Linked DNA regions of Rattus norvegicus. The protein of the gene in region 1 purifies or fractionates together with the protein of each later gene. This does not show direct contact. Links are inferred from orthologs where the notes say so. Each region holds a gene or a part of one and is shown on either strand. Other genes may lie near its edges.

Region 1 (4,469 bases):
CAGATGAGGTCCAAATCATGCTTGTGCAGGAACTTGGCTACAACCTCGGCCCCAAAGGTAAAGGAGACTCCACGGTCATTCTCGCCCCAGCCTTGAACATCCTTGTCAGGGTCAGACCACAGCAGATCACACAACAGGCCCTGGTCAGGCACGTCCGTGGGCCGCATAATACGTCTAATCTGCTCCATGGATTGCAAGTCTGGAGACAGGCCTGGGGTGGTAGAGTGAGAATAGTGTTCCTTACACCGAAAAGCAGGTACTATCCCATGCCCAGAAAGGTCTCAGGGGTCAGCTCCACTTTCCCCACCAACGCTGGGTTCATCTTTTGGGCTCCTTAAGTTTAGGGAAACAGAGTTCATTATATTCCTGCTGGCCCCATTTCTCTATGTGGCCTTGGCTGTCTGGGAACTCCCTTTGTTTTTTTTGTTTTTGTTTTTGTTTTTTTTTTTTTAGGAATATGTTTTTTCAGTTTTTTTTTTATTGGATATTTTATGTATTAACATTTTTTTTTCCCGGAGCTGGGGACCGAACCTAGGGCCTTGTGCTTGCTAGGCAAGCACTCTACCACTGAGCTAAATCCCCAACCCAGGGAACTCCCTTTGTATGCCACCGCCACCTGGCCATCCCTCAGCTTTTAGAAGTACAAAGAGTACGGGCTGGAGAGATGGCTCAGCGGTTAAGAGCACCCGACTGCTCTTCCAGAGGTCATGAGTTCAATTCCCAGCAACCACATGGTGGCTCACAACCATCTATAAAGAGATCTGGTGTATCTGAAGACAGCTACAGTGTACTCATATATAATAAATAAAATAAATATTTAAAAAAAAAAAAAAGAGTAGACCTCCGTGGGGGAAGGAGATGAATGAGTTGCCTATAGCATGCTAAATACCACAACAGGAAAGCGCAGTCGAACTGGGGTGTGTAGCCAGGTGAGGTGGTGCAGGCCTTTAGTCCCATCACTTGGAAGGCAGAGATAACCAGAACTCTTGTGAGTTCCAGAACACAGAAAAACCCTGTCTCAAAAACAAACTGGGCTGTGGGTGACCTGTAATAAGTGACAGCCAAATTCAAGGAGAGCTACTCCAGGAAACAGGAGAGTTCTGTTAACTTTCCAAGGCCCCTAAGGATATAGCCCAAGCACAGACCCCACAACCATCCTGACCTCCGTGGCAGCAGAAGATCTTCTCATCTACAATGGCTGCAATGGGCAGGCAGTTGAAGCAGTCGGTGAAAGTCTTCCACAGTTTGATGTTGTATCGTCTCTTGCCTGCACAGAAGAAAATGGCTCGTAGGGAAGACCACCCACCACACAAAACCCAGTCTATAGTTTTCTGTGCACTCCTCCAGGGTACTTTGTGGGTTACTCTGACAAAGTGCAAAGACTAGAAGGCAAAGAAAGCTTATTACAGTTTCCTTGCTCTGCCCTCATCTACCTTCCAGAATTCCAACACCTGGGTCCACAAGAACCTGAACTCCAGTCTGGCCTAACCTCAGTGTCTGGTTTATTCATAACATGCACCCTAAATGCTTAGTAAGGGATGCAATAGAGGGAAGTGTCATCGGGCAGGGCTGTGGAGGAAGCTTTAGCAAACGGGCAGCCCTGCATGTACATCCATTCACCAGGCCCTTCCTTGGTGCCATGGATAACAGACAGCTTGGTTGGGGCTTTGCAGGACCCATCATCAGGGTTCTCAGCACTAGAACAATTTAGGGGGCCCATGAAGTGCAGGAAATGTAGTTCTGGGCAACCAGCAACATTCAAAGCACTCACATTCATCATAGAAGCCATAGATGCGGTTGATGCTGGCACACTCATGGTTCCCACGTAGTAGAAAGAAATTCTCCGGGTATTTGATCTTATAGGCCAGCAACAAGCAGATGGTCTCCAAAGACTGCTTTCCCCGATCCACATAGTCCCCCAAGAAGAGGTAGTTGCTCTCTGGAGGGAAGCCACCATACTCGAACAGCCGTAGAAGGTCATAGTACTGGCCATGGATGTCACCTGGGAACCAGAGAAGACTAGGTAGGTCCAAGATGTAAACTTGAACCCAGGGCCAGCAACGGAAACACAGGTACTGGGGCAGGAGTAAGGGGCTATTTTGAGGAAGCTAAGGGGTTCTGAGCAAGGGCTTACCACAGATCTTGAGAGGCGCCTCAAGCTCCAGAAGAATAGGCTGGCTCAGGAAAATCTCCCGGGATTTGAGGCAAAGACCACGGATCTCGTTCTCTGTCAGCTGCACATTCTTTCCAGGCCGTGAGCCCTGCACTGGGTACGGAATAGGGTCTTGGGACCCTGACCTCGCAGACCGAATGTCATGCGCCCCTCCCCAACACCAGCAACTGTTGCAAGGGAGCCCCCGCTGAAACCTTTGCATCAGGCCTTCAAAGGCAAGATACGACCCCTTAGCCACCCGGAGGCCCTCCAGAGACACGCCTGTGCTCAGCAGCCTGTCAACCGAAGCTTCCTCGCCTCAGAACCCCTTCCCAGCTAGCTTCGCAGGAGTCTCACCCTGAGTCTCGGCCACTCAAGCGTCCCCGGCCTCGGAGCGCGCTCCAAAGCCTAGGCGCAGGGAGTAGGGAGGGCTGCCGTGGCCATAGAACCTCACGGCCTGTCCCCGCCCAAGCGACGCTAGCCCCCGAGAGCGGCGGGCCCGCCCGCGCTCTACTTCCGGACGGCGATGGGCCCAGGCTCGGCGCGCGCGCACCTTCCCTACCCCTACCCACCTTCCAGCAGGCGCCCGATGATGGAATCCAGGTTGAGCTTCTCGCTGTCGGACATGGCGGCGCCGCCGCTCCGGCCCACCAGCTCCGGGCCCTCTCCTGCCTCCCGCCCTCTTGCAGCCTCCTTCCGGCCTGGCTCTCCTTCCGCCCTCCCCAGCCCGCCCTCGGCCCGCCGCCCCGCCTCTTCGGCCGGCCGCCCCGCCCTGCCGCGTCCGTAGTTCCCTGCTCTCTAGCGCCTCCCCTGGACCGGAAGCACTGCAGCCGGGGAGGGCCTCGGGCGGCCGGGCGAGGCCTGGCAGGGGTGGAGGGCGGGGTTTGTAGGGCGGAGTTGGGTCGGCTCCACCCAGGAGGAATCGCCCTGCTGCGTTCTGATGAGTTAGAACCGGAAGTACTGTAGAAATTGTTTTTCTCTTTCCAAGTCTCTTCCCACCCCAGCCCTGCGTGGGATTGTGGTGTGAGCATGTTAATCGCTGACTTCTCAAACACTGTAAAGTAATTCCTCGAAGTGCAGAAAAAGGAACTAAGGCTCAATGACACTGAGAGTGAGCTCCAAACCTCCAGAGCCTCACATTCACCTCGGTCTTTATGGCCAGACCCATGAACACCTGCTACTGAACTCGAAGCAATGTTTTGGTCCAGGTTGCCTTGGTGCCTGCTACGTCAGGTTTTTTTTTTCGTTAAGTGATGTAATACTATTTTATCTCCTTCCTGTTGTAAGTCCTTTGTAGAATGCTTGGACTTGTCTAGCATGTGCAAGGCCTGAGGTTTTATCTCCGGCTCTGGAAGGAAAGTAAAGAAAGAAAAGGGGGGAAAGGTATTATTTTTAAACAGTAACACATTAAAGAACCCAATGTATCATAAACCTGTAATTCCAGTGCCTGAAATTCCAGCACTCAGGAGTCTGGACACAGGAGGATCAGAAGTTCAGGGTCATGCTCAACTACATAGTGAGTTCATCTCCTGCCTGGGCTACGTGAGACCCTTGTTCCCAGACTGTACCCTTTCACTCTCAAAAAAGAAAACCCAGGACAGTGGGTTGGAGTGGTGGGACGACATTAAAGCATAATTATTACTGGAACCATGAGTTGGTTTTACACGCAAGTAACCTCAAAACCGATAGTGGCCTGTCATCTTCAACTTGGGCAAGTCGGGGACTCTTCACACCTCCCATCCGTGATGGGAGGAGTCCGTGGCTCAGGCACTAAGGCAAGCAGGAAGAACCTCATAGAGGAAGGGGGGAGTCCCCCCACCAGGGAGGGGCCCCCAATAGGCTGCTGAAGCTGAGACTGAGGAGGAAGTGAGAGGAGGAGGTGAGGTGCAGCAAGGAGGTGAGCTGGGCTAGGGGCCAGGCCTGGGGTGGGTCTCTACACAGAGACTTGGTCTTTGTGGTACCTCAGGGACTACCTGACTCCCCCGTGACTGAGGACTGGTTCCTGGAACCCCAGCCTCAGTCTGGCTGTTCACACTGGCTCTCTATATGTCTTGCAGCCTGTGACACTGGGGTCTAGGGCAGAATGGCCCAGGCCCTGGGAGAGGACTTGTTGCTACCGTCAGAACTACAGGATGATTCTAGCTCTCTAGGGTCCGACTCAGAGATCAGTGGGTCCAGCCCATATCGTCAGGCTGACCGATATGGCTTCATTGGGGGCAACTCAGCTGAGCTGGGGTAAGTGAGGCATGGGTAGGGGAGATGGTAGGGGACAGAGGCTGAGGACTGAGTTCTGGAATCAGGCCTGGCCTCTAGGGTC
Region 2 (4,260 bases), on another chromosome or scaffold:
TAAAATAAATCTTAAAAAAAAAAAAAAAAAAGAGGCTACTTTGTGCATATGGGCATATAGCCTCACACGTAAAAAAAAAAAAAAAAAAAAAAGGATACTATCGCGCCAGCAGTTCCGTCACCTCCTCCTTGGTCATGACCACGTGCTCAGGGACTAGCTGTGGAAACAGAGACCCACCCGCGGCCATCAGAAACCGACAGACTCAACAGGCTAATGGGTACTGCCACAGGGCTGGGACAGAGGACACAACCAGGCTACTAATATCACCAAGTTGGATGCTCAAGGCCACTGCACTAAAACTGGGGAACGACCCTGCCCAGCTTATGAATGGCACGGCCTGAGACTGGGAAGATCCAGGGCCCTCCCGTATCCTGTCCAGACCACGCCATGCCACCCAGACCTTCCCTGGGACACACGCACCTCATGTTCTGTGATATTGATGAGCAGCTCCTGCTGTAGAAACTGTTCTAGCACGTACTTAGGGGCCATGTCTACCAGGGACTGCTTGGCGGAGGGTGTCATGCCCTGCTGCACCACGATCAGCGCCCGTGTGATGTTCTCCTCCTGCATGCGCTGGCAGTACACCTTGATGGTCTTGATGCCCACCTTGGGCTCCTCTGCAGGCACACAAGTGTGACCCTCACACCCACCACTAGAGTCCCTGATGTCCTGCTGCCTGTGGACTTAGCTTCTCCACTCACAAAGGAAGACCAGAACGCAAAGCCAGCCGCGGTGGGGCTATCACGGGGCAGCCATGGCGGAAGAAAGCTGCACTGTCCGCCCCTCCTGATCCAGGGGGTGAAATTCTCAGCAGCTCTGAGATTTGTGGAATATGGTATTGTCAGCTTGGGCAGCCTCAAGGAGAAACTGTCTGACCAGGAGGTGGACCCTGTGTCTAACATGGGGCTAAGCCTTCTCTCCTCAGGCAGAGTGGGGTTTACTGGAGCATTAGGACGCAGAGCACAAGAGCAGGTCCAGGTCACCTAGTCACCTAGTCTGCAAATTATCGGACCTTATCCAGACTCTACACACCTTTTTACATTATGATAACAGTGGCAAAATTAGTTAGGAAGCAGCAATGAAAATTTTATGGCTGTAGGTCACCACAACATGGAGAGTCCCATTGTCGGGAAGGCTGACAGCCACTGCCTTACATAGTTCTGGCTGTCCTAGAAGTCACTGTGTAGCCCAGGCTGGCCTCGGCTGCCTGCCTCCGCCTCCTGGATTTATAAACACATGCTACCATGCCCATCCCTGCACCCCCAATTCTCACACTAAAACCCCAGGCCCCAGGCATCAACATCAGGTATTAAAGGAAACAAGCTGCCTGCGGAGACTGGAGGAGCTGCAGAGCACCACAAACCTCCGAGAGCCGCCTGGGCCTCAGACAGCAACTGTAGACTACAGCAACAGGAGCAGGGGGACTGAGCACTGGTCTGCGGACTCAGGGGCAAAAAGGACACCGGTGAAATGGAAGCTTCCCAGGGGAAGACAGGGACAAAGCAGGCAGCTGCCACCAGAACTGGAGGCCCCCAGAGGATGCCACTACTGCCAGCCCAAGGACCCTCACCTGGGAAGAAGACAAACATCTGGTCTGTGGGATCATCGTTGTGGGCCACCAGCACGGTGAGGTCTGTGCGCCTCGGCCGTCCTTCGCTGGGCTTGTCCCCAAACTGTGCCTTGAACTCTTCAAGTGTCTGGTCCAGCTCATCCTGGGTCACCAGGTAGCCTCGGTCATGACACAGCTGTAGAGAGAGAAGAGTACTCAGCTAGAGGACAGCTGGGGACTAACACTGACTGACCCGCAGTACCCAAATTCTGCATAGGCTGAGACTACAGAGGCCCCAGCCAAGCCTCCTCCCTTCCCTCCAGCCTCACCAGAGAAGGCTGGGGTCAATGACCTGGCAACCTTCCTGTCTTGGACCCTCCTAATGAGGGCTGAGAACAGGCCTGAGGAGGCCTAGATCAGGTCCTGGGCTCCACCCAACACAGCATAAATTAAAACTATTAATACCTCTTTCTCCACTGGGGTCTTATCTACTCAACTCGAACAACCAAAATGTCTTCCTTTTTTCCCTTTTCTTTCCAGACAGGGTTTCTCTGCGTGAATGTGACCCTGTCTATCCGGGAAATTACCATGTAGACCAGGCTGACCTCTAACTCAGAGATCCGCCTCTTTCTAACTCCAGAGTGCTGGGATTAAAGGCGTGCGCCGTCATGCCGGCTTGTTTTATTTTTTTAAATAGCTTCTTTTAATCCTACGTGTGTCCAAGAGACCAGAAAAGGGCCACAGATGCCCTGGAACTGGGGTTACAGATGGTTGTGAACTACCATGTGGGTGTCGATGGTGAGGCTCCCTAGTACTGAGGAAACCATTCGTTCCCAACACCCCGTAAACCAGGTGTGACCGTGTAGCAGCCATGTATCCCGTTTCCGAAGCAGAGAGTCCAGCTAGGACTTTTCCTCTGGGGCAGGGGGAGGAGGCTGAAGCAGGAGGATTGCCAACAACTGAGGTGGGTGGACTCCACACTTTAAGAGGGGATGCATCCTATTACCTGGGAGGCTGAAGCAAGAGGATTAGCCCCCATTGGAGGCTGGGCTGAGCGGACAGACAACCGCAGTTAGTCCACAGCTCAGCGCTCGCTCAAAACCTCCCCATGCAACTCGCCTGCATGATAGTCTTGCGGATCTTCCACAGCCGATACGTTTCCTCCTCGTCGTCCATGTTGTCGCACTTCACAAACAACTCTGCACGCGCGCTCGTAGACCTACCAGGACTGAGCCTGCGCGGGACAGCATAAAGTGCACGCCCCCAGCACAGTGCGCCTGCGCGGAATGCGGAGAAGGCCCCGCCCAGGTTTGGTTTAGGTGATCGCCGGAATACACCAACTTTCCAGGATAGGTTGAGCGGTGGGCAATCCCAGCATTTACCGCGGCGGTGTCTGCGCGAGATCGCACACGGGAAGATCGCGCGATACTTGACCTGCCTTAGTATTTTCCCACTAGGCGTTTGCAAAAGAAAACTTGGCTGTAGTTCACGCCTTTAATCCCGGACCGAGGCAAGCAGTCGATGAGTTTGAGGCGAGCCTGGTCTATAGCCAGGGACATCCTGTCTCGAAAAAGAAAAGGAAAGAAAGAAAGGGGGAGCCCGATGATGAAAAGCCAGGTTCATGTGCCTCAGTTTCCCTTTTTATATAAGTTTTTATTAATATATTTGCACTTTGTATGAGAAATCGGATTCCAGCGCCCCCAGCCATCTGTAACTCCAGCTCCAGAGGATCTGGGGCCTCTGGCCTCTGGGTATGTCTAAACCCACATGCAGACCCACACACATGATTAAAATCCTAAAAACTAGAAGGAAAAAATGGACATATAGGCATATAGACAATCGACAAACAAGTGTGTATGTGGTGGGCTACTCGTGCTGCCTTGAAAGTTAGAATGTAAACCAGGTCTCAACAGCGCAGAGCATGCCCTGCCTCTGCCTCCGCAGTGCTGGGATTGAAAGCTTGTACCATCGCAACTGGCAAGGGCTGTCGTTGGAAATCTAGATGCGGACTGTACCCTCCATTCTGTCCTGATGTGAGTCTGACTGAGGTCTACAGATCATGACCGGTTCTGGTATGGAAACTTAGGCTGATCCTGACTTGGAAAGACAAGTTTTGGCCAAGGGCACCGATCACTGAACCCACCATATGCCCTGTAGACCAGGGCTGAGGGGCTGTGGTTGCTACAGTTGGCTAAGAGCTGTGGGTGCAAAGTAAGGGGATGTGGGCATGGGGAATGAGAGAGTTTGAGGGGCTGGAGAGATGGCTAAGTGGTTAAGAGCACTGACTGCTCTTCCAGAGGTCCTGAGTTCAATTCCCAGCAACCACATGGTGGCTCACAACCATCTGTAAAGAGATCCGATGCCCTCTTCTGGTGTGTCCAAAGACAGTGACAGTGTATATGTATATATATATATATATATATATATATATATATATATATATATATATATATATATATATATATAGAGAGAGAGAGAGAGAGAGAGAGAGAGAGAGAGGCATTTGATTCTAGCACCACTCTGGAGGCAAAGTGGGTAGATCTCTGAGTTCTGGGATGGAGCCTGTGTTTCTCTCTCTCTCCCTCTACCCTCTCCCTCTCCCTTGCTCTAGCAGGGGAGCCCCTGACATCCACTTTCAGGAGGAGACATGAGCCTCTCATTGTTGATGGTAATGGACTATCAAAGCCTAAGTATGTATACTTGGGATTTAG
Region 3 (3,974 bases), about 110 Mb from region 1:
GGCACCTGGGCAGGGATCACAGCTACTGTGGGGGCAGGACCAGGTGGGCATTCTGCCTAGAATGGCTGCAGGGGGTGGGGAGGGGGCGCAGCACAGGGGAGGGACACTCAGATGAGGACTTTCTCCACCCTGCACTCAGGTTCGAGTACTGCCAGCTGCCTTGCCTCCCGTGCCTCAGCCAGTGTGCACCTACCGTGAGCTGCGCTTCGCCTCTGTCCGCCTCCCTGGCTGCCCACCTGGTGTAGACCCCATAGTCTCCTTTCCTGTGGCCCTCAGCTGCCGCTGTGGGCCCTGCCGTCTCAGTAGCTCTGACTGTGGGGGTCCCAGGACTCAACCAATGACCTGTGACCTTCCCCACCTCCCCGGCCTTCTCCTCTTCTGATGCCCACCCACTAACTCCCCATTCTTCTGGAGCCAGCAGGTGTTCTAACCATCCCTCCCAATAAAGGCTTTACAACTGCACTCCGATGTCCTTTTGTGTGATCTGAGGATACAGCAGAACTCCAGTTTTCAATAATTTTATACAAAGTCACAGTGTTAGAACTTGTAGAAAACAGGCTGGGAAGGGTTGGGGTGCAGTGTCAGCTCAGGAGGTGTCCATTGTTTCACCTTCTGCAGAGAGGGGAAGCCAAATGTGAGGGAGCTCCTGGGTGCTCCCATGCAGCCCCTCCCACAGTGGCAGCAGCCTGGGATACTCACTGAGCTCATTGAAGAGGAAGGCGTCCTGGTATTCCTTCATGTACTGTGTGGAGCGGGATTCATCCAGGAAGAGGGAGTATACGCGCTTGATGTCGTCCACCTGCACCTCCGTGCCCTGAGAGCAGGTGGGGCTCAGCTGATGTCAGCACGGGGCCACCCCCACCACTAGGTTTTTTTCTCTAAAATGCCCGGGCACCGGCTGTGGTTCTTAGTCCCCACTAAATATCCATGTACCATGGCTCAAGGGCTACCCCAGGGCCACCCCTCAGTCCTCCAGGCTAACTCGCTGGCTGACCTTTCGTTTCCGGCACACCAGGCTGGCCGCTGTGATGAGCTGGATGGCGTAGCGCAGGGAGGTCTCGAGCCCAATGCGGGTCAGCACTGTGTAGGCGTCCTCACTCATCTCCACATCTTCCTCCTCACAGCTGTGGGAAGGCAGGCCAAAACGGCAGGCATATCACCCACCCATCCCATAATATGCATGGATACTGGGGTCTCGGAACCACGGATGGTGAGGCTAAAAGAGCCACGGGCACAGGAGGGCCTCCCACCCCATCTTTCCCGACTCAGTGTGGGGCAGATGCCACACCGGATACGTAGGATCTGTTTGGTGTCCTTCTCACTGTAGGGCGATGTTGACACAATGAGCAGCCGGTCTAGCAGGTCAATGGGGATGCCGTGGGGACTTTGGTAGCTGGTGCCTCGGATCCTGGGGGTCAGGGAAAACTGTTAATGGATGCTTTTCAAAAACATACGTGCCACCATAGCCCACTTGGGAACTCAGTAACTGTGAGCACTGGCTCTCATCCCCAGTAACACACTTCTCGGCAGCTGTGCACACTAGCGGCTGTCCTGTGCCCTGCTGCCCTGGCAAACCCAGTTCCTGGTGAGCAATGGGACCCATGGCAGTTTGTTCCAGGCATGGGAGCTTAGCCATCGATATGAGAGTACTGTTCTCCAGGGGCTGGCTCAGGACAGCTGCCAGATCTAACCTACCACTCATGGACTTTCAGGGACTGGGGAATTGCAGTGAACATCAACTAGCAAAGGGGACCTTAGGGCTGCCTCCCCTCCCCCCTGCTACCTTCACATCTATGGCCTTGGGCAAGCTGCTCAGCTTTGCTGATCTACTCTGTGAAGTGGGAGTAGTGGGGAGAATGAAGTGCAGGCAAGGTAGCCAGGTCCCAGCCTCTTAGGGCTGTGTGCCATCCGCCTTCACCACAGCTACACCTAACTGCAGTTGCAGGGGGCCTGAAAACTTGTGTCATCTGTGGGTACCACATGCATGTGTACACACACACAGACACACACATAAAAGTAAGTCAGAGAAGAAAGAGGGGCTGGAGGGATGGTTAGAATACATACTGTTCTTACAGAGGAGCCCAGGGAGAGTCCCAGGACCTGCACCAGGCAGCTCACAACTGCTTCTAAGTCTAGCTGCAGGGGACCTGCCATACTATTTTGGATTCTGCCCACACCTACATTCATACCTGCATATACTGCCTCCCCCACATTCAAACAACAACAACAACAACAACAACAACAACAACAACAACAAAGACGCCATGCTAAAAACACGAGACAAGGTGATGTGCTTGATGAAGTCATGAGCCATCGTCAGGAAAAGTCTGGCTATCCAAACCAGTTTGTATACTCTCTTATCTACAAAGGGTCTCATGAAGCCCAGGTTGACCTAGAACTGAGTCCTTTCTCAGCCTCCATATTACCAGGACTGTGGTTGGAGCTGACATGCCCAGTGTCCACAGTGTCTTTAGGTCAATACATGTGGTCTGTGACGATTAAGTGGCGGGGTCTGAGTGACGGACTGATCACAGCAGTTTGTGACATATCTAATAGATAGCCCCGTGCTCAGCATAGGGTAAACTTCCCAGGGCCCTTTGGGTGCCTGCTCCAACAAGTTTAAATCCAACTTGAAGAGATTTTCTATCTGTCCAGGATTGTGAGGACCACACTGGAGGCAAGCTGAGTAAGGAGAGGAACTCAGCAGATGGTCATTCACCTTGAGGCCACCATCAACCCCTGGCCCAGAGTGCCCTTGCTGCAGAGGCCTCTAAAGCTGCTCACCGGGTGATGCCTCGGTTGGTGGCCATGATAAGAACAGGCGCCATGTCACTCTCCAGGGCCCGGTTTAGGAAAGAGAAACTCTCAATGTCCAGCATGTGGACCTCATCGATGAACAGCACCTGGAAGCCATTAGGGCACAGATCAAGCTCTCTCCACCTGGTACCTCAGGGCTAACCATACCCTCCTGGGCTGCGGCCACTCACCCCAGGGATGATCTCCGCTTTGCCCTCCTCCCTCCACTCTGCCACCTTGGCATTGATCTGTTCTCGGACTTCTGACTTGATCTCCCCTGTGTCTCCTGCCAGAGATGGGGGTGTCAGTTAGAATTAGAGATTGAGCCCAGGACCGGGGTGGGTGAAGAGAGAGACAGAGGAGCACTGGGGAGGAGGGCTCTGGGCTGCAGCAGCAGGGCCAGAAAGGACAGAGGGAGTGACCCGAGGGAGGACTCGAGGGCAGTGTAGGGAAGGACACACTCAGACGGGGAACAGAGACAAGCAGCAAGTCTGTAAAGAAAGCTAACAGCGCCAAGAAAGAGGCAGAAAAGCTGGGGGTGGGGGTGAGCCACGCTGAGGGAGACAAAGGATGTACCAGAGCATTCAAGGTGTTGGGGGAAGGGCAGCTGACCTGAGAAGAGAGCCAAGAAGCCCTGAGTGCGGGAGTTGATGACGTCAATCTCATGGAGGGACACGGTGTGCACCACCTCCTTGCGTTTTTGCAGCTCTCCGTCTGGGCACTGCACAAACTTGGTCTACAGGGTCAACGGCAGGTGTGAGGGCAGCCAGGACACAGCCTGGAGCCCCACACTGGGAGGTAACCCAGCATCCAACCCCATGACATAACAGAAGATGGAGAAACACTCCAGTGCTGGGTTGGGGATGAGCCAAGCACCTGGGAGCCCATGGCATCATAGTCTCGGGCACGTGTGAAAGAGCGGCCCAGCTTGGAAATCTTGCCAGTGGCCTTGTCGATGGTGATCACGTCCCTGAAGGAGCAACAGCAAAGAGTAAGAGGGTTCCACTCCCCTCACTGCCCAGCCTCTTTGTGGTCCCGTGGCTCACCCGGCCTGGACCTTGTCCTTGGTCAGGGACTCGATCATCTTGGTACCCAGATCGTAGATGGTCTCCATCTCCGTGGTCTTGAGAGTCAGTTTGCCCACCTTGGATCCCTGAGGGTGACACACCAGTAAATGT
Region 4 (3,740 bases), on another chromosome or scaffold:
AGAGATGGTTCAGCGGTTAAAAGCACTGACTGCTCTTCCAGAGGTCCTGAGTTCAAATTCCAGCAACCACATCGTGGCTCACAACCGTCTATAATAATGAGATCTGATGCCCTCTTCTGGTGTGTCTGAAGACAGCTAGAGTGTATTCATATACATGAAATAAACAAAATCTTAAAAAAAAAAGAAGAAGAAACAAAGAAAAGGAAGACAGCAAGAGAGTTGAAAAGAGCTCCATTTTATTACGGAAAGTTACAAAAAACGAAACAAACCAGGCAGCTGACCAAGGAGCAATGGGGAGAAGCGAGGCGCCTCCTGAGCGCCCCCCACACTGCAATTCAATTCAATGTGAACCACGTGGAGGAACAGAATTAAATAATTTTCATGGGGTTCAGGATTAGGATCCCCAGCCTGCCCTCTTGGGGGAAACCGAGGCACAGTAATACTGAGCAAAGCTGAAGAAGGTTACACACCTTCCCAAGTCACTCACAATGAAACAAAGGGAAGGTGGAGGATCCCACAGGGGCTCCGCGGGTAGGCATGGCTTGTAAACCTGGGACTCTGCAGGTGGGATTGGGAGCTAGTGGGTATGTAAACCAGGCTGTGATCAAGAGGGAAGCTGTAAACAAAGGGGTAGTGACCTAGAAAAGGGGGTGTTCGTGGATGGAGCGGGATCCCCGGAGAGTGGCTGAGCTTTAAGGAAGGCTGTGAGGCTGGAGGTGCTCCATCTCAATTCCAGATAAATTCTGAATTCCAACCCAGGACTTGATGCTCACTCTTAGCTCACCGAGGATGCTCCGCCCACCGGGAACTTTGGGTTAGGGGTCAATTTAGGCTACCGGCTCCGCCCCAGGAACAGGATGGGAAAAGCAAGTCCGAATTCGCTCGCTTGTCGCCCTTCCCTGCCAGGCGGGCTCACTGCCATGTCTGTCGGCTCTGAATCATCCAAGCTCCAGAATCTTCAGGTGCGAGAAGGAGAGAGGTATATGCCCAAACTCGAAGATGGTCACCGCCGGCAGGACTCATCTGCAGGAAAAGAGGTAATCAATCCAGAGAAGCGGAGAGGGCCTCCGCCTCCCCACGCATCCCCAGAACCGAAGAGTGGCTGGTATAAGAGAAGTCTTTGTAACATGTTGGCTGTGGAACAGTGGTCATCATCACGGTTAACTGGATTCTGTGCTGAGCATCTTGTTTAATTTCACAATCGTCTCAGCAAAGGTGAAGTAATTTAATACCTAGCTATGTATACCTAGGTGCTTTACAAAAATCTACTCAAGTCTTCAAACAACTTCAAGAAGTACTTGCTTGGGGTTGGGGATTTAGCTCAGTGGTAGAGCGCTTGCCTAGGAAGCGCAAGGCCCTGGGTTCGGTCCCCAGCTCCGAAAAAAAGAACCAAAAAAAAAAAAAAAAAAAAAAAAAAAAGTACTTGCTATTATCAATTAAGGCGGGGTACACAACCTTTTTGTTTGTTCGTTTCAGATGGGGTCTCGATCTGTAATAGTCCAGGGTGCCCTGGAACTCACTGTGTAGACTAGGCGGATCTACCCCCGCTTTAGTGATAGGATTACAGGCATGAGTCACTTTTCTCAGCTCAAGGCAGCAATCTTATCGCTGAGCTACACACCCGGAGGCCCAGCACACAACTGTTAACTTTATTTTAAAGGATGATAAATGAAAACTGGGGATACCGATCGGCGGCAGAGCACCCGCCTAGCATGCTCTGGGATCTGGGAGTGCAGGCGCGCACGCCACACATAAGGTAAACGGAAACCGAGCTCGGATTGATTCAGGATCACAACTAAGTAACAGACGAGCTGGAATTCTGACTCCATGCCGCCTGACCCAACACGGGTATTTTTAACCAGATTAGAGATCTGGATAACGAGCGAGCTCTGGTTTTGAAATCTGGAGACTCCAAGTGTGCTGGCTTTCAGGAATCAGCAGATGTAGCAAATTGGACCAAGCTCCTTCAAAGTACCACAAAGCCATGAACACCAGGGGGCGCCCTACGCCAACCACGCCGCAGCCGCTTACCCACGATTAGGGCCTTGGTGCACAGCCCGCCCTGGAGCCCGGGCTGCAGAAGCAACTCCTCCTCTTCCTCCTCCTCGTCATCGTCAGGCTGCGTTGCTAAGGGGGCAGTGGGGGCCTCAGGCTCCGGGCCTAGATCCTCCAGTACCGAGCTCTCGGAAGGGTATTGGTATGTGGTCTCCAGTGCTGTCTCACTAAAGGAGATCTTGAGCTGAGAGTAGGAAGAGAGGGGAGAGGAGGCAAGTTCATCACTAGGGGATCCAGGGAGGGCTGAGAGACCAGAGGCAAGTGGAGCGGGGCTGGGCTTAGGTGCCCCGCAGACCTTCCCTTCCATCCATTTGGGGTTCGGCTTTCCTTTACATCTTGATTATTCCGTCTAATGGCATCATTCAAAACAACACTTAGAGGCTGGGAAGATGACTCAGTGGTTAAGAGCACTCGCTGCTCTTGCAGAGGACCTGTGTTCAGTTCCCAGCACTCACAACCATCTGTAACTGTAGTTCCGGGACCTCTGCAGGCTCCAGGCATACTTGCAGTGTACACGTACACAGGCTTGCAAAACACTGGCTGGGCTGTGAGAGCGATTGTAGCCAGGCCTCTCTGGAACCTTTGACCTTCACAGTGTGTTATGTCAGGTGTCTCTCTGCACCCCAGGTGTGGTGCCTCGAGGCAGCGATTTCAGCGTTCAAGAGGGCTGGAGAGATGGCTCAGCGGTTAAGAGCAGTGACTGCTCTTCCAGAGGTCCTGAGTTCAAATCCCAGCAACCACATAGTGGCTCACAACCATCTGTAATGGGATCTGATGTCCTCTTCTGGTGTGTCTGAAGACAGCAACAGTGTACTTATATAGAGTAAATAAATAAACTTGAAAAAAAATAATTTTTGAGAGAGAGAGAGAGAGAGAGAGAGAGAGAAGATGAGGCAGGAGGATTACACCAAATTCCAGGCTAGCCTTCCATGCAGATCAAACTCTGTCTAAAAAAAGAAAGGGGTGGGCTGGAGAGATGGCTCAGCGGTTAAGAGCACCCGATTACTCTTCCAGAGGTCCTGAGTTCAATTCCCAGCAACCACATGGTGGCTCACAACCATCTGTAAAGAGATCTGATGCCCTCTTCTGGTATCTGAAGACAGCTACAGTGTGTACTTATATATAATAAATGAATAAATCTTAAAAAAACAAAACAAAAAAAAAGAAAGGGGTGAGGAGTTGGAGAGATGGCTCAGTGGTTAAGAGCACTGGCTGCTCTTTCCAGAGGACCTGGGTTCAATTCTCAGCACCCACATGGCGACTCACAACTGTCTACAACGCCAGTTCCAGAGGCTCAGACACCCTCACCCAGGCAAAAACAGCAATGCACATGAAATACAAGAGAGTAAAAGCTGACATTCAGATGGAATCAGGTGACCAGTCTGGGGCTAGCCTGATCTACATAGAGACCTTGACTTTAAAAATAAGCACACACACACACACACACACACACACACACACCCCAAAAAAGAGACTTTGCCATGGCAACGAGGTAAGTAAGGCAGAATTCGGGTCTCTATCTTTCACTGCTGTGAGGCAGAGGTATTTAAAAACAAACAATCATGAAGTCAGATGGGCACTCCTGACTCAGGATTGGATGACAACGGAAAGGTTTAGACGAGCCAAGGGATGCCCAGCATACAGAAGAGTCCCTAAACATGCAACTGCTTGTGAACAGACAAGGA
Region 5 (3,740 bases), on another chromosome or scaffold:
TGCCAAAGCGATACATTTTTATCACTGTGGTAGAGCAGTTTTTCAGAGAGTTTTACCTATACCAAGAGTCTTGCTAGGACTGGGCTTAGTATGTCTTTTGTCATTTATTTGTCTAACATACCTGTTCTTTTCACCCCACAGAATCTTCAGAAGCAAGTTGGAGAACTGGAAAGCCAAACCAGCCTCTACAGTTCAGGCCTCCGCCCCCTCTCCTTGCATGCCTTTCTCATGGTTTAATGAAAGTCGGAAAGGATCCTATTCCTTCAGGAACCTGCCTTCAGCTCCAAATCCCCTCCCGCCTTCTCCTGAGACTCAAATTTCAGATAAAACAGGGTCCAAGGTAGACTACAGTGGACTGTAAAAGCTGACAAGAAAGCCCCAATCCTGTCCCCTCTTCAGTTTTCGGAAAGCCTTCTCGACCTGTGTGTGTGCTAACATTGTCCTAGGCATGCATGGTGTTTCCTTGTGGGGAAAGAAAGCCCCACCTAACCGGCACCCTCTTTAATACCGTTCTGTTTTAGTGTGTGCTTTTCTCTTCGATTTACCTGTCATTTCACTTCCTGCTATTTAATCTTTTTGACAGTTAAGCCATGCTGGGAAAGAGACATTTGGATGGTGAAACAGTGTTGGAAGATATTTACTAAGTATTCTTCTTTAAATTGCATTATGAAATGATTTCACTGTGCTCTTCAAGATTTACTGGAAAAGCAGATAAATTTGGGACTGACTGTGTTCAATATATTTAAGTGAAGCAAACAGAAAAACAAAGACCACTGGCATAGCCTTACTTACTGTTTGTATCAAATGTCCATGCAGAGCACTGGTTCTAATTCTCTTTAGTGTTAGCAGAACTGCACTTGATGTATATGTGTGGGTGTGGTGCATTTCAAAGTGTGTGATGGTTATTTCCAGCATGACACTGCGAGGCTTACCTAACATCGTACTGACACACGTGGTGGCTAACCTTCATGGAATTTGGTCTCCTCTTTTTACTGACACGCGTGGTGGCTAACTTTCATGGAATTTGGTCTCCTCTTTCCTGTGTTCACTCTTCTTTCCCAAACAGAAGCCAGAGGTTAATCTGACTTAAACTGAGTTCTTCCCTTGAGGTCAGCAGCTCGAAGGGGTTTGACCTAGGGGCTAGAGGTTTGCATCTCCAGCAATCAGACCAGAGGGCGATCATGCTTTGTGTACCAAGCCTTGCTGCTGAGTGTTCTGATGACCACTCCTCTTTTTAGGAGATTTATCAAATCTTGGAGTTGGTTTGGTACTAAATTCCCCAGTCTCTGGCCTGGTCTTTATTCTCAACAATCAACTAAGCCAATGCAAAAGGACCTAACAGAACTAACAGTCTGGAGAAATGCTGTGTGAAACAAGGTGGAGTTCCTGGGAGTCCAACCACTTGACAAGTAGCCAAAGAAGTTTTGTGATGATGACCCTTTGGGCCCTTTAGTACTGTTCTGAGACCCACGTTCGCTTGAGTGATCCTAACATTATCTACCCTAGAAAGAGGTTCATTATAAAATGTTTGCACAAGTAAGGCTCTGCGATCATTGTCAAGTTGTTCTAACATCTGCTGAGCATGTTAAAGCAATTCCAGGGGAATTCATTTTCTCCCACATCCCACCTCACTAACCCCAAGAGGTTATGCAGCCTTCTGGGTCTGTTCCACCCTGCAGTCTCTTTGCTGTATGCTGGTGCCATGAGAGAGTTATAAACCAACATGTAACTAGTGTTGTATTGTCAGACATGCCCTTCTCCAGAACTCATCACTCTGAAGGGTCCATCCAGGAGGGGACCTGTCACTTCTCACAGTGTTTATCACAGCCAGCCACACAGCATCTTTCCCAGGGGCTCTCCAGCTACCTTCCTGATATGAGTCGCCATCTGTCCCTGATAACTCAGCCTCTCCACACCATCTTGTATTCCTACTTACACCGTTTCCCGTCACAGTTAGGGTCAAAGCATGTGGGCCTATTAATATCACTACTCTGAGCACTGGCAGAGGGTAACGAATTCTGAACCCTTGGAGAAAAACTGGAGAATCATTGCTGTCTGCCACCTATTCTTACATCAATGGAGAAGGTGCCCAGGATTTCCAACCAGGCTTCTTCACCACTGCTCGACTGAAGGTTGTCCCCAAAGCACACTTGAGTCTCTTCTGAAGACAACTGATTAACATGAAGCAATTGAGGCCTTGGGAGCACGCCTGCCGCTTGTTCACTCTGTGTTCATTTAATACGGTTGTGTTCTTTTTTTTTTTTTTAACAGAATTTCACCTTCAATGATGACTTCAGTCCAAGCAGTACCAGTTCAGCAGACCTGAGCGGCTTAGGAGCAGAACCCAAAACGCCAGGGCTCTCCCAGTCCTTGGCACTGTCCTCAGATGAGGTACTGTAGTGGCACCATGGCAAAACTTAGTTCCTATGTCCTTTACTTCCTCCATATCCCTCTGTGGGAAGATGACGTTCGGGGGAAGCTTCGGCACAGAAGGCATCAGCACTGAGGTTTTATGTTTAACACAAAATCCCCATGATTCCATTCACCTTGCCTTAACATTACAGAACACTTTCTAAGCCCCTTGAAGCTTCCCGGTGATCCCACTATATATGTAAATGCTAATGTTAGAGGCTGGCCACTGGAGATCAAGACTAGACAAACAGTTTAGGTCACCTGGAAGCTGTAAGTTATCTGCTCTCTCTCTCCTTACAGAGTCACCCATACCCCCCGGACTCTGAGAGTTTTCTGGCTATGATATGCCCCCTGTTGAATCATTACCATCAATAGGCATGGTTCTGGAAAGGAAATAGAGTTAGAATCATTTATTCAGAGGCTAAAGTGAAGATTAGCATTGCTAAGAATTACCAGGAAGTATGTATGCAGGTGATAAGCGGAAAACTAGGTTGGAATTGATTTAGTTCTAAAAATAAGTGGGAGTCGGGGCAGGAAATAATGTAATTAGAGTGTTTTTCTTACATATGAAATAATTGTTCTTAATTCTTTGTAACATGAATTATAGAAAATAAGCCTTTTTCCCTTTAAATGTTTCTGGACGTGTTTTCCTGGCTAGGCTTGATTCTAATGTTGTAGAGCGTGCACGTGGGTGTTGTGTGTCCCATTTCTTTAACATTCTTCTTCTCGGTTCTTTTGTTGCTGCTCCCCCAGAGCCTGGACATGATAGATGATGAGGTGAGCTCCCTGTGTGTTGTGCGTGGTGCCTGTCTCGTTCGAACCTGCTTTTTGCTCCTTACAAATGACTTATGAATCCAACACTAAAGAACGCTTTCCTCCGAAGTGGAGGGGGGAAACCCTGCAATTGTTTGCATTTGACTTAAAAGATGTTCCTGGATCAAGATGTCCCCTCCTCCAGAGTCCTAAGCCCCGCCTCCAGAGTCCTTCACTCACCTCCCATAGCCATTACCTGACATGGTCCATTCTTTTTCTTATCCTCTGCCTTTCCTCAGCTCACACTCTTCTTCACATGGCTCTCTCTTTCCTCTGAGACCTGCCACTGCCTCATCTTCTCTCAGCTCAGTGGCTCTGGGAGCTGCCATGCCTCTTTATGCAAATAAAGAGAATGGTCTAGAGTGGACAGAGCCTGGAATTTGCACTGAGCGTCTTGTTAAGCTCTTATTGCTTGCACTGTGTTGTCTAAGAGAGCGTGTGTGGACTTTCTGATCCTCAGTTCCCTCATGTCTTAAAGGAACCGTGGATGCCAGTGTCCCCCTTCACACAGATGG
Region 6 (4,507 bases), about 120 Mb from region 1:
AGAGGCTGAGGCATGCATTGGAGGACAGCCTGGACTACCCAATTCAATCCTGTTTCCAAAAAAAAAAAAAAAAAAAAAAAAAAAAAAAAAAAAAAAAATATATATACACACACACACACACACACACACACACACATATGCTGCAAGCGTGGCTCCACAGTGCTTGACAAGCAGTAAGCAGCTCTGGACTCTATCCCCTGACCTGCATAAAATGAGTGTTAGCACAGACCTGCAATCCCATCATTCTGGAGAGGGAGGTGGGAAGGTCAAAGTTCAATCACCCTTAGCCATACACAATCTGTGCTACATAAGACCATTTTATGTAAAAAAAAAAAAAGGGGGGGGGGCTAGAGAGATGGCTCAGTGGTTAAGAGCACTGTCTGCTCTTCAGAGGTCCTGAGTACAAATCTCAGCAACCACATGGTGGCTCACAACCAACCATCTGTAATTGAATCCAATGCCCTTTTCTGGTGTGTCAGCAACAGGATACTCATATACATTAAATAAATATTAAAAAAATAAATAAAAGGCTTAGCCTTTTCAGAAAAACGGTGGGCCAGAAACTTTGCCTGACCCTCCAGGTGCCCTGACCTCCAGGCCCCACCATCTGACCCTTATCCTGGAAGGTTCTAGGTTCTGACTTTGGCCCTGACTAAAGAGCAAGCTCTTTCCAGGTCTCAGTGCTGCCTTCATAATCATCATGGATTTAAGAGGGCTCACCCTCACCAGGCACTGTTCATGTGTGATGTCACTCAGTCTCTGGCAGACCCTGGGCCACTGCTCTTGTCAGTCATTCTGGGGAAGGGGGGTTCTGAGGCTCAGGGGATCCAGGCAACTTCTCAGCAGTTTGTAAAAGACAGCAAATGAGAAAATCAGAATTTGATCAAGCTAGCCTTTCTTTTTCCCCTTTTATTTTTATAACGAAATAGGGTTTCACCATGCAGTTCAAGCCCCCCTAGAATGGCTACTCTATGGTCCAGCCTTGGCCTCTAAGCGCTAGGCTCACAGCTGCATACAGCCACACCGGGTTTCTTAACCACTTCTGAATGGCCACACTGCTCCAACTTTCCCATTCCTGCTGTGATCTCACCACAGTGGACATCGGGTTGCTGCCAGGGTCCACTGGACTCTTCCTGTCCTCAGCACCAGTTCCAAGAAGTTCAGAACCTTAAACAAACCACCCGGCCCTGGCAGGCTCCCCAAGTCAAATCTAAATTAACCTTGGTCTCTTTGATAATTACTAGTCAAACTGGCATTTATGGCGAGCTCTCAGTGTATCATTTCCTGCAACCAAGTCCCCGCCCTCACATACATCAAAGCTACTAGCTGCCCACTCTGCTGCCCACAGCCTGGCAGTAGTGTCTGTCTGCTCCCAGACAAGCAGGTTAGCTTCTACGGAACATGGCCAGTGGGCGACCTCACTTCACAGGCTCCACCCAAGCAAAACACAATTCAGCTCAGAAACGGGATTAGCCTGAGTCCGTCTCCTCCGAAACCTTTCATCTTTCCTAGCCATCAAAGCCAATGCACACCTCCAAGTGCCCGTCCAGTTCTACCTCCCCACCAACCTTCTCCAACAGGCCTAGATCTTAGATCTTCCCATCTCCCAACGGCTTCTGTTGACCAGAAACACCTGAGTAGGTAATATTCCCCAGTCCTTCCCCAGGAAGACCCTGGTAAAAGTGGGCTCCACGTTCTGCTGCTGAACCTTACTGAGGAATTCCTCGCATACAGGCAAACTGACCACCTCGCCCTCTGCTTCTCAGCCTGCTGCCTCCGACCCTCTTTTCCCAGTCGGAGGGTTTACCAACTTCTTGTACAGTCTGGGTTTATTTCCCGTTCTCATTCCAGCCAGAAAAGCAATGGCCATAGCCGGCTACCCTTTGCGTCCTGGTTTACAGACCAGCTGGTTCTGCTCTCACCGCCCCGTGGACTCACTTACCTTTCCCCCAATACTATAGACGGGTTCTTTTCATCTATTCCTGCCTGGGTGTACCATGAACTCAAAGGCTGGCTGCCAGCCTCCCAAACTCCCAGACAAGGTTAGGGTTTGAAAACCCAATCCTGTGCACCTTTCCAACTCTCCCGCCAACACCACTGCCTCCAGCTCTAACCTAGGAACCGCTGAAACCACCGATAAGTGACATTTACCGCGGGCCACCTCCGTAGGAGTCGGCGCTCTGGCGGTCCCACCCGCCCCTAGGCTCTCTCCCGCAACCCTAGCCACAGCTACCGTGTCTCCAGGGGTCTTTGGGCTCCACAGCTCCGGACACGATGTCTTCGTCCGACGGGAACGTGACACGCTTGGCCGCAGCTTTAAGGCGCCCATCGGTTGGGGGCGAAGCTCCGCTGGAAGACCCAGCTTCGGCTGGGGCCTCCTCGGCCTCGGCATCTGCGTCGGCGTCCGCGCCCGGCCCGGGCGGAGCCTCCTGCGGCGGGATCTCCATCGCCGCCACCGCCTCCTCCTCCTCACGGGGGCCCCGGGGACATGCCCCGGGCCCCGGACTCGTCTCTCCGGGTCCTCCCGCCGTTCCGGGGCATGGGCTTGGCCGCTGCCTCAAGCGCCGCCTCCGTCTGCTCCGTTCGTCGTCGTCGTCGCCGCCGCCGCCGCCGGGAGCCCCAACGCGCCTCCGCCGAGCTCCGCGAGTACCTGCTCTTCCGCAGCCACACTTTCGCTACAAGCTAAGGCGCCCGCTGCGTACCGAGAAAAGCATAACCCCGACTCGAGATTTTGTTCTGAAAAAAATAATCTTTTCGAGGGCGACACGAAGACGGGAACAAAGAACAGTTGACTCCACGGGAAAGAGAAACGTGAGCAGCGAATCTGCAGAGCCAGAACTGCAGAACACAGAGGCGGGGCCTATGATCGCTGTCTCCCCCGAGCGCCGCGCATGCGCGAGTTTCAGCCGCTGCCGCTGCCGCCGCCGCCCCCTAACCCCCCCGCCCTCAGCCCAGCTGTCAACACTTAGGCTCCCGCACATTCGTCACAAGTCCAAGTAATTCGGGAAAGAATTCACTAGAAATCCTTTCACCGCGGTCTGCAAAAGCGCTGCGTCAGCGGTAAAAGTCGTCTTGAGCTCGATACCAGAGACTCACGTAAAATGCAAGAATTGCCGCCACAAAATTGTCCGCTGATTTCTACACACGCGTCCACAAAAAAAAAAAAAAAAAAAAAAAAAAAAAAAAAAACTTAAAATATAAAATAAGGATCAGAGTCCTTAATTTAAAAACTACCTGCTGGACAGGGTAGTGACACGCCTGTGATCCTAGCCTCGGAGAGGCTGAAGGCGGAGGTTGTGAATTCGAGGTCAGACTGGATTACATATGGAGCCTCAGACAAGCAGGTGCTACAGAGTGAGACCCAGGCGGGGCTAAGCCAAGTACTGGGAGCAGGGTAAAGTGATGGAGGTGTTGAAAAGCCAAGAGAGCCGAGCTGAATATAGGATGAGTACGTGCAGGTGACAGAAGCGACAGAAGAGCAGACTTTAGCTTCACTGTCTCGTCAAAATTGTATCAAATGTAAATGCTGGGTATTCATGAACCTGATTAAAAAACAAACTGGGAGCGGAATTCCAAAAGCTCGAGATTAATCAGCTGACCAAACCCGAGCGAACCCAGGCCACACCTCCAAGGGATCGATTTCATAGCTCGGATTCATCTCGGCACTTTCGCTTTCCCTTCTTATTAAGGGTCAACCCTTTGGTGCAAGGGACTGAAATGGTAGAACTGGACTTGATTGAACTGGACTAGAGAGCTGGGCTGGGGCTGGAGAGAGGCAGCGGTGTGAACTGATAGCAACTAAGGCTACTGCTCAGGGTAACTGTTTCCCTCTTCACATTGTGGATTAGCACACTTTTGAGACTGAGAATTACCAAAAGCCCCCTATAATTAATGCAAGCCTTCACTTACATTCTGAACTTCAATAAAAGGCATTAACTAGGTTTTCTTGTTTGGTTGGTTGGTTTGGTTTTACTGGTTCTCACGTAACCCAGGCTGCCCTCTGACTTACCATGTAGGCAAGACTGGCTTTATTATCTCTGGCTCTCCTACCTCTACACCCCATTCCCCACCCCAAGGGCTAGGATTACAGGCTTAGGGCATTGTGCTCAGCTAGGAACTGCTTTTGGATATCATCTACTGAAAGATTTCTAGTGACAAGGGACTGAAACAGGTGACACAGACTTTCTCACTAGGAGGTGGAGCAAACTGAGGAAGGGTAAATCTTCAATGCTAACCACCAACCTGCAGCATTTGCTCCCGGGCTGTCACACAAATTCGAACACCACCACCACTCCCTGTCTCCTCAGTGGGAAAACAAACCTGCAGCTGACTGCAGTGGACCACATCACCCAGAGGAACCTTGTAACCTGGTGTAAGCCAAGACTATTTCTAGTAAAAGGCCATCCCTGCCCACCTCAAAATAGGCTTAAGGTCAATTTCTTGTGCAGAGAATGACAGCCATTTGGGGAGGACCCCAGGAGCAGTGCAAGCCCCACACTGTTATCTG
Region 7 (4,309 bases), on another chromosome or scaffold:
AAATTAACTTGAAATAGATCATAGGTCTAAAACCTGGTGTATAAAGCTTTTGGAAGAAAACATAGGAAAATATAGTTAAGACTTTGGGTTAACAAAGATGTCTTGAGTACCACATTATAGAACTACCACCAATAAAAGAAAAACCCATCAGAGAGATTTCACTGAAATATAAAACTCTCTCTCGTAGAAAGTCCCACACGGAGTCAATGGCAGGTGTCAGACTGAGACACTTTGGCAGAGAATCTATTTGATGAGTAACTGTACCCAAGTACACAGAACCTCTCAAAATGTAATCTTAAAACCCAGTTAAGAACGCGAACAGGGTTGGATAGACGGCTCAGCAGTTAAGAATACTTGCTACTCTTACAAAAAAGACCAGGGTTCAATTCCCAGCACCCATACAGTGGCTCAAAACCATCTGTAACTCCAGTCTTGGGGATCCAATACCTTCCTCTGACCTCAGAGGACACACGAGCCAGCAAAATGCCCACACACATAAAATAAAATAAAAGTGGACTTAGAGACGCTCAACATCAATCATTAGACAAGGCCAATGAAACGCACCAGTGGACACACCTGAACACTTAACAAAAAGAAACTGATTATACCAAGTGCAGCAAGCAAGACATGAGTGTGTTCACACACGGAGAAGGTGCAGTTGTGGTGCACACTTGCTTATAAATACCCTCCCCGACCCCCTCTCCCAGCTCTAGAGGTCAGTTCAAGGCCAGCCAAACACTGCAAAGCAGAAACAAAACAAATGTAAAATGGTAGAGTATACTTAGAAAACATTCTGGCATTTTCTTTAAAAGCTAAGCTCACAACCAAAGGCAATGGCTCAGAAGTCTAACCACAGGCAAGCGAGTGGAGATACAGTGGGACAGCAGGCCTGCATCTGAACTCACAAGCAATGGAGGGTGATCTTGAATTTCTAATCATCCTGCCTATACAGTGCTGGAGACTGAGCCAGGGTTTTGTTCATGAGGGCAAGAAGCAGTCCACCAACTGAGCTACCCCCCAGCCCCACTGCTACAAATACCAACAGAGTCAGACATTACATTAATGACTCCACTCAGCTCAAACTCTAGAAGAGGCAGGCAGCTACAGGGACAGAGGGCAGAGTGGAGTTTTTGAAGGAGGGGAAGCTGGGACATCGTCACTGTCAGAGAGAGACACTGGGGAGGAGGACAGATAGGCCTGTTGTGCTGGCGGTGGCAAGGGCTTCACAGACCTACACCAAAGCTTGTAAAACTGCAGTCAGGCACGCGCAGCCTAGCGCATGACAATTTTCATCTGAGCAAGCTGGCAAAACAGCTCAGCGAGCCCAGCTCACTACCAAGTCTGAGGACCTACTCAGGAGGGGAACAGGGGCTCCTACAAACTGTCCTCAGACTCAGACATTTACACAAAGCAAATAAACAAATAATACAGCGACATATTTAAAATGAGCAAATAAGTTAAGAAAAGTTATTGTACACATAAAAATAAGGAAGCTAAGATACAATAAGCTATTTTGTATTTGACAGATTCTAATACATCCAGTAATACAATCTCTTGCCTAAATGGCTAAGCTTTAACTAAGAGTCCGACACCACTATGCCTAACCTATTCGCCAATGGCATTTCCATAGCAGAGCTGCATATGTTAAAAATCCATTCAACTCTATTAAAGAAAAATAACAAGAAATTCTTACTCTACTTTTCTGACTATCTACCCAATAAAGGAAGTCTAATTTTTTACAATATATACTTATATTTGAAAGGATCATTTTATTTTGACTAGTTTTCCAATAATAAAACTACTATACTTAATGATAAATTTGATTTAGCACTCAGAAGCCAATGATAATCAAGCAGAAAGACAATGTAAACATCTATTTGAATAAAATATGGAAGAGAGTGGCTACAACTTCCCTCTTGTTATAACCTGTATCTACATCTACATCTACATTTTTCCCCTAAAACAGAGTAAAATCTGAGTGCTTAGTGAAGTGAACTACAATGCATAAACCTGGACAGCTCTAAAATTAATTATTTTGAGCATGATGATAAAACCTGAATGTATAAAACATACAAACAACTAAAACCAACCTCCATCTGACATTAGGACCGGGAAATGAATGGTATTGGTGCCGAGACACTCCAGGCAACTGTCCAAGTCTAGGTAGCCAGTAGGCACATAAACCCAAGACACCAAAACATCACAAGGGTGCCCAACCACAATAATGTCTACAGCGGTGACACAAATGTCCTGGGGCACAGAGGTCCTGCACAAAGCAGGTCACATGCCAGACCCCCTCCAAAACCACTCCCATTCTCTCACACAGATGAATCTGAGTCTCCACGTAAAACACGAGGTCCTCCAGAAGGCACAGCTCCGTCTTCAGTGGGATGAAGCGAAAGGAAGGGGACTAGTTTCTCTGACTAAAACGAAGGCATGAAGACCTATCGCCTTCTCCTCACTATGTCTAGCATGGGATCGGGCATGCTGTGGGAGCTCAAAGGTGTCTGTAATCATTCTTGTTCACCATCCAGCACAGAGGGGACCGAGAGGCTGTGTGCAGAGGACTCCCTTCTGAGGACAGCAATAGATCCAAAGTCCTTGGTGCATTCCCTGACCAACAAGAAAGAAGCTGGGTCACGTGTGCTCTAAGGGTGAGTAGTAACTGAAGGAAACACAGTCAGGAGACAGCAGAAGTATTGTAAGACAGGCACCTGCAGCATGAGCAGCAGAGGCATCGCTGAGCTGCAGGCCACTGAGTCAGGATTTTATGCGGGGCAACCACAGGACAGAAAACCAACAGCGCTTTAAGCTTCCTTGGCTATGGACGGTCATGCCTACTTTAACTTAAAAACGGTTTTAGTGAGAAAGGAAAAGAACTTCCCCACCTCTAGGTGGCTCCTGTTGCTCCTCTCCACTGGGCTCAGATGGCATCTGGTGATGAATATCACACTCTGCCAGGACACGTGGGCATCCTTAGACCTTGCCCTCCTCTGCCTGCGGCAGTTTCCCCAACCTCCGTGGACATCTGGCACTGGGCAGTCACATCATCTGTCTGGCCCACAACTGTGTCACACTGTAAAACATCAGGCACAGCAGAATTCACATTTCCATTCTGTAACCCTGCGCTAATAAAACAGTTGTTTCAATGCTGAAGCTAGAAAAGTGGAATGTGCAACACTAATTAAAAGGTGTCTAATTAGCATGCATTTTCTACAAACCACAGACGGATTGTTTTTACCTGATGCTAAAAGTTTGTTCCAGATCACTCACAAAACTGGAACACAGAAAGGCTAGTTTGGCTTTTCTGACACAAGTATCACAGAGATGAGGACTATTAAGAAAGACGTAAATGCCTTGTGGGTGTGCTGGTGCCCGAGTGCTTCAATCCCAGCATCCAGTAGATCTCTGAGAGTTTGAGGACAGCCTGGTCTATACGGTGAGACCGTTTCAAACAAAGGCATACATGAGAAATGGACACTGTACCACTTTATCCCCTGAGCACCGCTGTGCATACCAGGGACTGGAGAGTAAAGCAGGCACTATCTATTGCTCATGGGGGGGTGAACAATAAAATATAGTACAATTATAAATTGTGGCAAATTAAGGATGATTGTCCTTATGGAAGAAATAAGTTGGGTCTAACAGACGTGAAAACGGTGACCTTCTCAGAGAAGACTTCCATGAGAAAGAATTCTGCAGCTAGTACTCACAGATGAGAGGTTACTCAGCAGCTGGGATAAGGGCCCTGGGGCCAGTCTGCTGGAGAACTGGTCTATATGCTGGGGGATGTGGGTGAGGGGCTGGGGCCTTAAGGAACAGGACAGGAAGGCCTGCTGGAGATTCTGTACCTTACTCCAAGGATTCTTGGGAATCTAGAAGGCCCGTAGAAAAATTGACTTTCTTTTTCGGGCTATCAGCAAGAAAACAAACAGGAAGGGGCAAAGGAGACCAGGGGACTTAAGAGAGGTCAGAGTAGCTTGAACTAACCAACACGACGGCAGAGACTGAAAATCAGACAAGTTTCTGAGATATTTTGTGGTCAACTGTTTTGGAGGGCTGATGGACAGAATGCAATGAGCAAGACACCTTGCTGGGATAGAGGAGTTCAGAACAGGAAAGGGAGAGTTTGCCAGTCTGGACAGCACAGACTAAGTGTGGAGAAGAAATGGGAGCTGCTGCCATTGTAGACAAAGAGGGGCCAGGCACATCTTAGGTGCCTGTCCGTCATGGCTTTCCAGCTAACAGTAGTATCCCCATTTTAAAGGCAGTGAATTTAGATCAGAGCTAGAGAAACAGGGGACCATTC

Evidence for each region.
Region 2: the proteins of Ppp1ca (region 1) and Polr2e purify together in Homo sapiens (affinity purification with mass spectrometry; 5 studies listed by BioGRID and IntAct, counting the BioPlex papers as one, with this or other methods). This does not show direct contact. The link is inferred for Rattus norvegicus from reciprocal best matches to the Homo sapiens genes PPP1CA and POLR2E.
Region 3: the proteins of Ppp1ca (region 1) and Ruvbl2 purify together in Homo sapiens (affinity purification with mass spectrometry; 4 studies listed by BioGRID and IntAct, with this or other methods). This does not show direct contact. The link is inferred for Rattus norvegicus from reciprocal best matches to the Homo sapiens genes PPP1CA and RUVBL2.
Region 4: the proteins of Ppp1ca (region 1) and Ppp1r18 purify together in Homo sapiens (affinity purification with mass spectrometry; 5 studies listed by BioGRID and IntAct, counting the BioPlex papers as one, with this or other methods). This does not show direct contact. The link is inferred for Rattus norvegicus from reciprocal best matches to the Homo sapiens genes PPP1CA and PPP1R18.
Region 5: the proteins of Ppp1ca (region 1) and Ppp1r9a purify together in Homo sapiens (affinity purification with mass spectrometry; 3 studies listed by BioGRID and IntAct, counting the BioPlex papers as one, with this or other methods). This does not show direct contact. The link is inferred for Rattus norvegicus from reciprocal best matches to the Homo sapiens genes PPP1CA and PPP1R9A.
Region 6: the proteins of Ppp1ca (region 1) and Ppp1r37 purify together in Homo sapiens (affinity purification with mass spectrometry; 3 studies listed by BioGRID and IntAct, counting the BioPlex papers as one, with this or other methods). This does not show direct contact. The link is inferred for Rattus norvegicus from reciprocal best matches to the Homo sapiens genes PPP1CA and PPP1R37.
Region 7: the proteins of Ppp1ca (region 1) and Rassf8 purify together in Homo sapiens (affinity purification with mass spectrometry; 3 studies listed by BioGRID and IntAct, counting the BioPlex papers as one, with this or other methods). This does not show direct contact. The link is inferred for Rattus norvegicus from reciprocal best matches to the Homo sapiens genes PPP1CA and RASSF8.

What each region holds. Positions count from the first base shown.
Region 1 is NC_086019.1:210,912,954-210,917,422, reverse strand, and holds the start of Ppp1ca (serine/threonine-protein phosphatase PP1-alpha catalytic subunit), read right to left. Parts: upstream 2,848-4,469; 5' UTR 2,780-2,847; coding exon 2,725-2,779; intron 2,267-2,724; coding exon 2,135-2,266; intron 2,003-2,134; coding exon 1,772-2,002; intron 1,268-1,771; coding exon 1,163-1,267; intron 212-1,162; coding exon 1-211. Other genes in the region: Tbc1d10c (carabin), read left to right, coding at 4,236-4,387. UniProt on the Homo sapiens protein: Protein phosphatase that associates with over 200 regulatory proteins to form highly specific holoenzymes which dephosphorylate hundreds of biological targets.
Region 2 is NC_086025.1:10,315,899-10,320,158, reverse strand, and holds the start of Polr2e (DNA-directed RNA polymerases I, II, and III subunit RPABC1), read right to left. Parts: upstream 2,802-4,260; 5' UTR 2,726-2,801; coding exon 2,669-2,725; exon of another isoform or gene 2,589-2,668; coding exon of another isoform or gene 2,556-2,588; intron 1,746-2,555; coding exon 1,571-1,745; intron 618-1,570; coding exon 421-617; intron 158-420; coding exon 99-157; intron 1-98. UniProt on the Homo sapiens protein: DNA-dependent RNA polymerase catalyzes the transcription of DNA into RNA using the four ribonucleoside triphosphates as substrates.
Region 3 is NC_086019.1:105,037,985-105,041,958, forward strand, and holds the end of Ruvbl2 (ruvB-like 2), read right to left. Parts: intron 3,950-3,974; coding exon 3,843-3,949; intron 3,767-3,842; coding exon 3,673-3,766; intron 3,533-3,672; coding exon 3,409-3,532; intron 3,083-3,408; coding exon 2,988-3,082; intron 2,904-2,987; coding exon 2,785-2,903; intron 1,409-2,784; coding exon 1,289-1,408; intron 1,125-1,288; coding exon 995-1,124; intron 815-994; coding exon 700-814; coding exon of another isoform or gene 613-699; coding exon 587-612; 3' UTR 503-586; downstream 1-502. Other genes in the region: Lhb (lutropin subunit beta isoform 1 precursor), read left to right, coding at 140-382. UniProt on the Homo sapiens protein: Possesses single-stranded DNA-stimulated ATPase and ATP-dependent DNA helicase (5' to 3') activity; hexamerization is thought to be critical for ATP hydrolysis and adjacent subunits in the ring-like structure contribute to the ATPase activity.
Region 4 is NC_086038.1:2,882,155-2,885,894, forward strand, and holds the end of Ppp1r18 (phostensin), read right to left. Parts: intron 2,240-3,740; coding exon 2,032-2,239; intron 1,024-2,031; coding exon 1,004-1,023; 3' UTR 216-1,003; downstream 1-215.
Region 5 is NC_086022.1:34,247,270-34,251,009, forward strand, and holds part of Ppp1r9a (neurabin-1), read left to right. Parts: intron 1-141; coding exon 142-340; intron 341-2,271; coding exon 2,272-2,391; intron 2,392-3,165; coding exon 3,166-3,189; intron 3,190-3,740. UniProt on the Homo sapiens protein: Binds to actin filaments (F-actin) and shows cross-linking activity. Binds along the sides of the F-actin. May be involved in neurite formation. Inhibits protein phosphatase 1-alpha activity.
Region 6 is NC_086019.1:88,337,777-88,342,283, forward strand, and holds the start of Ppp1r37 (protein phosphatase 1 regulatory subunit 37), read right to left. Parts: upstream 2,817-4,507; 5' UTR 2,448-2,816; coding exon 2,234-2,447; intron 1-2,233. UniProt on the Homo sapiens protein: Inhibits phosphatase activity of protein phosphatase 1 (PP1) complexes.
Region 7 is NC_086022.1:180,449,408-180,453,716, reverse strand, and holds the start of Rassf8 (ras association domain-containing protein 8), read right to left. Parts: upstream 2,971-4,309; 5' UTR 2,889-2,970; intron 1-2,888.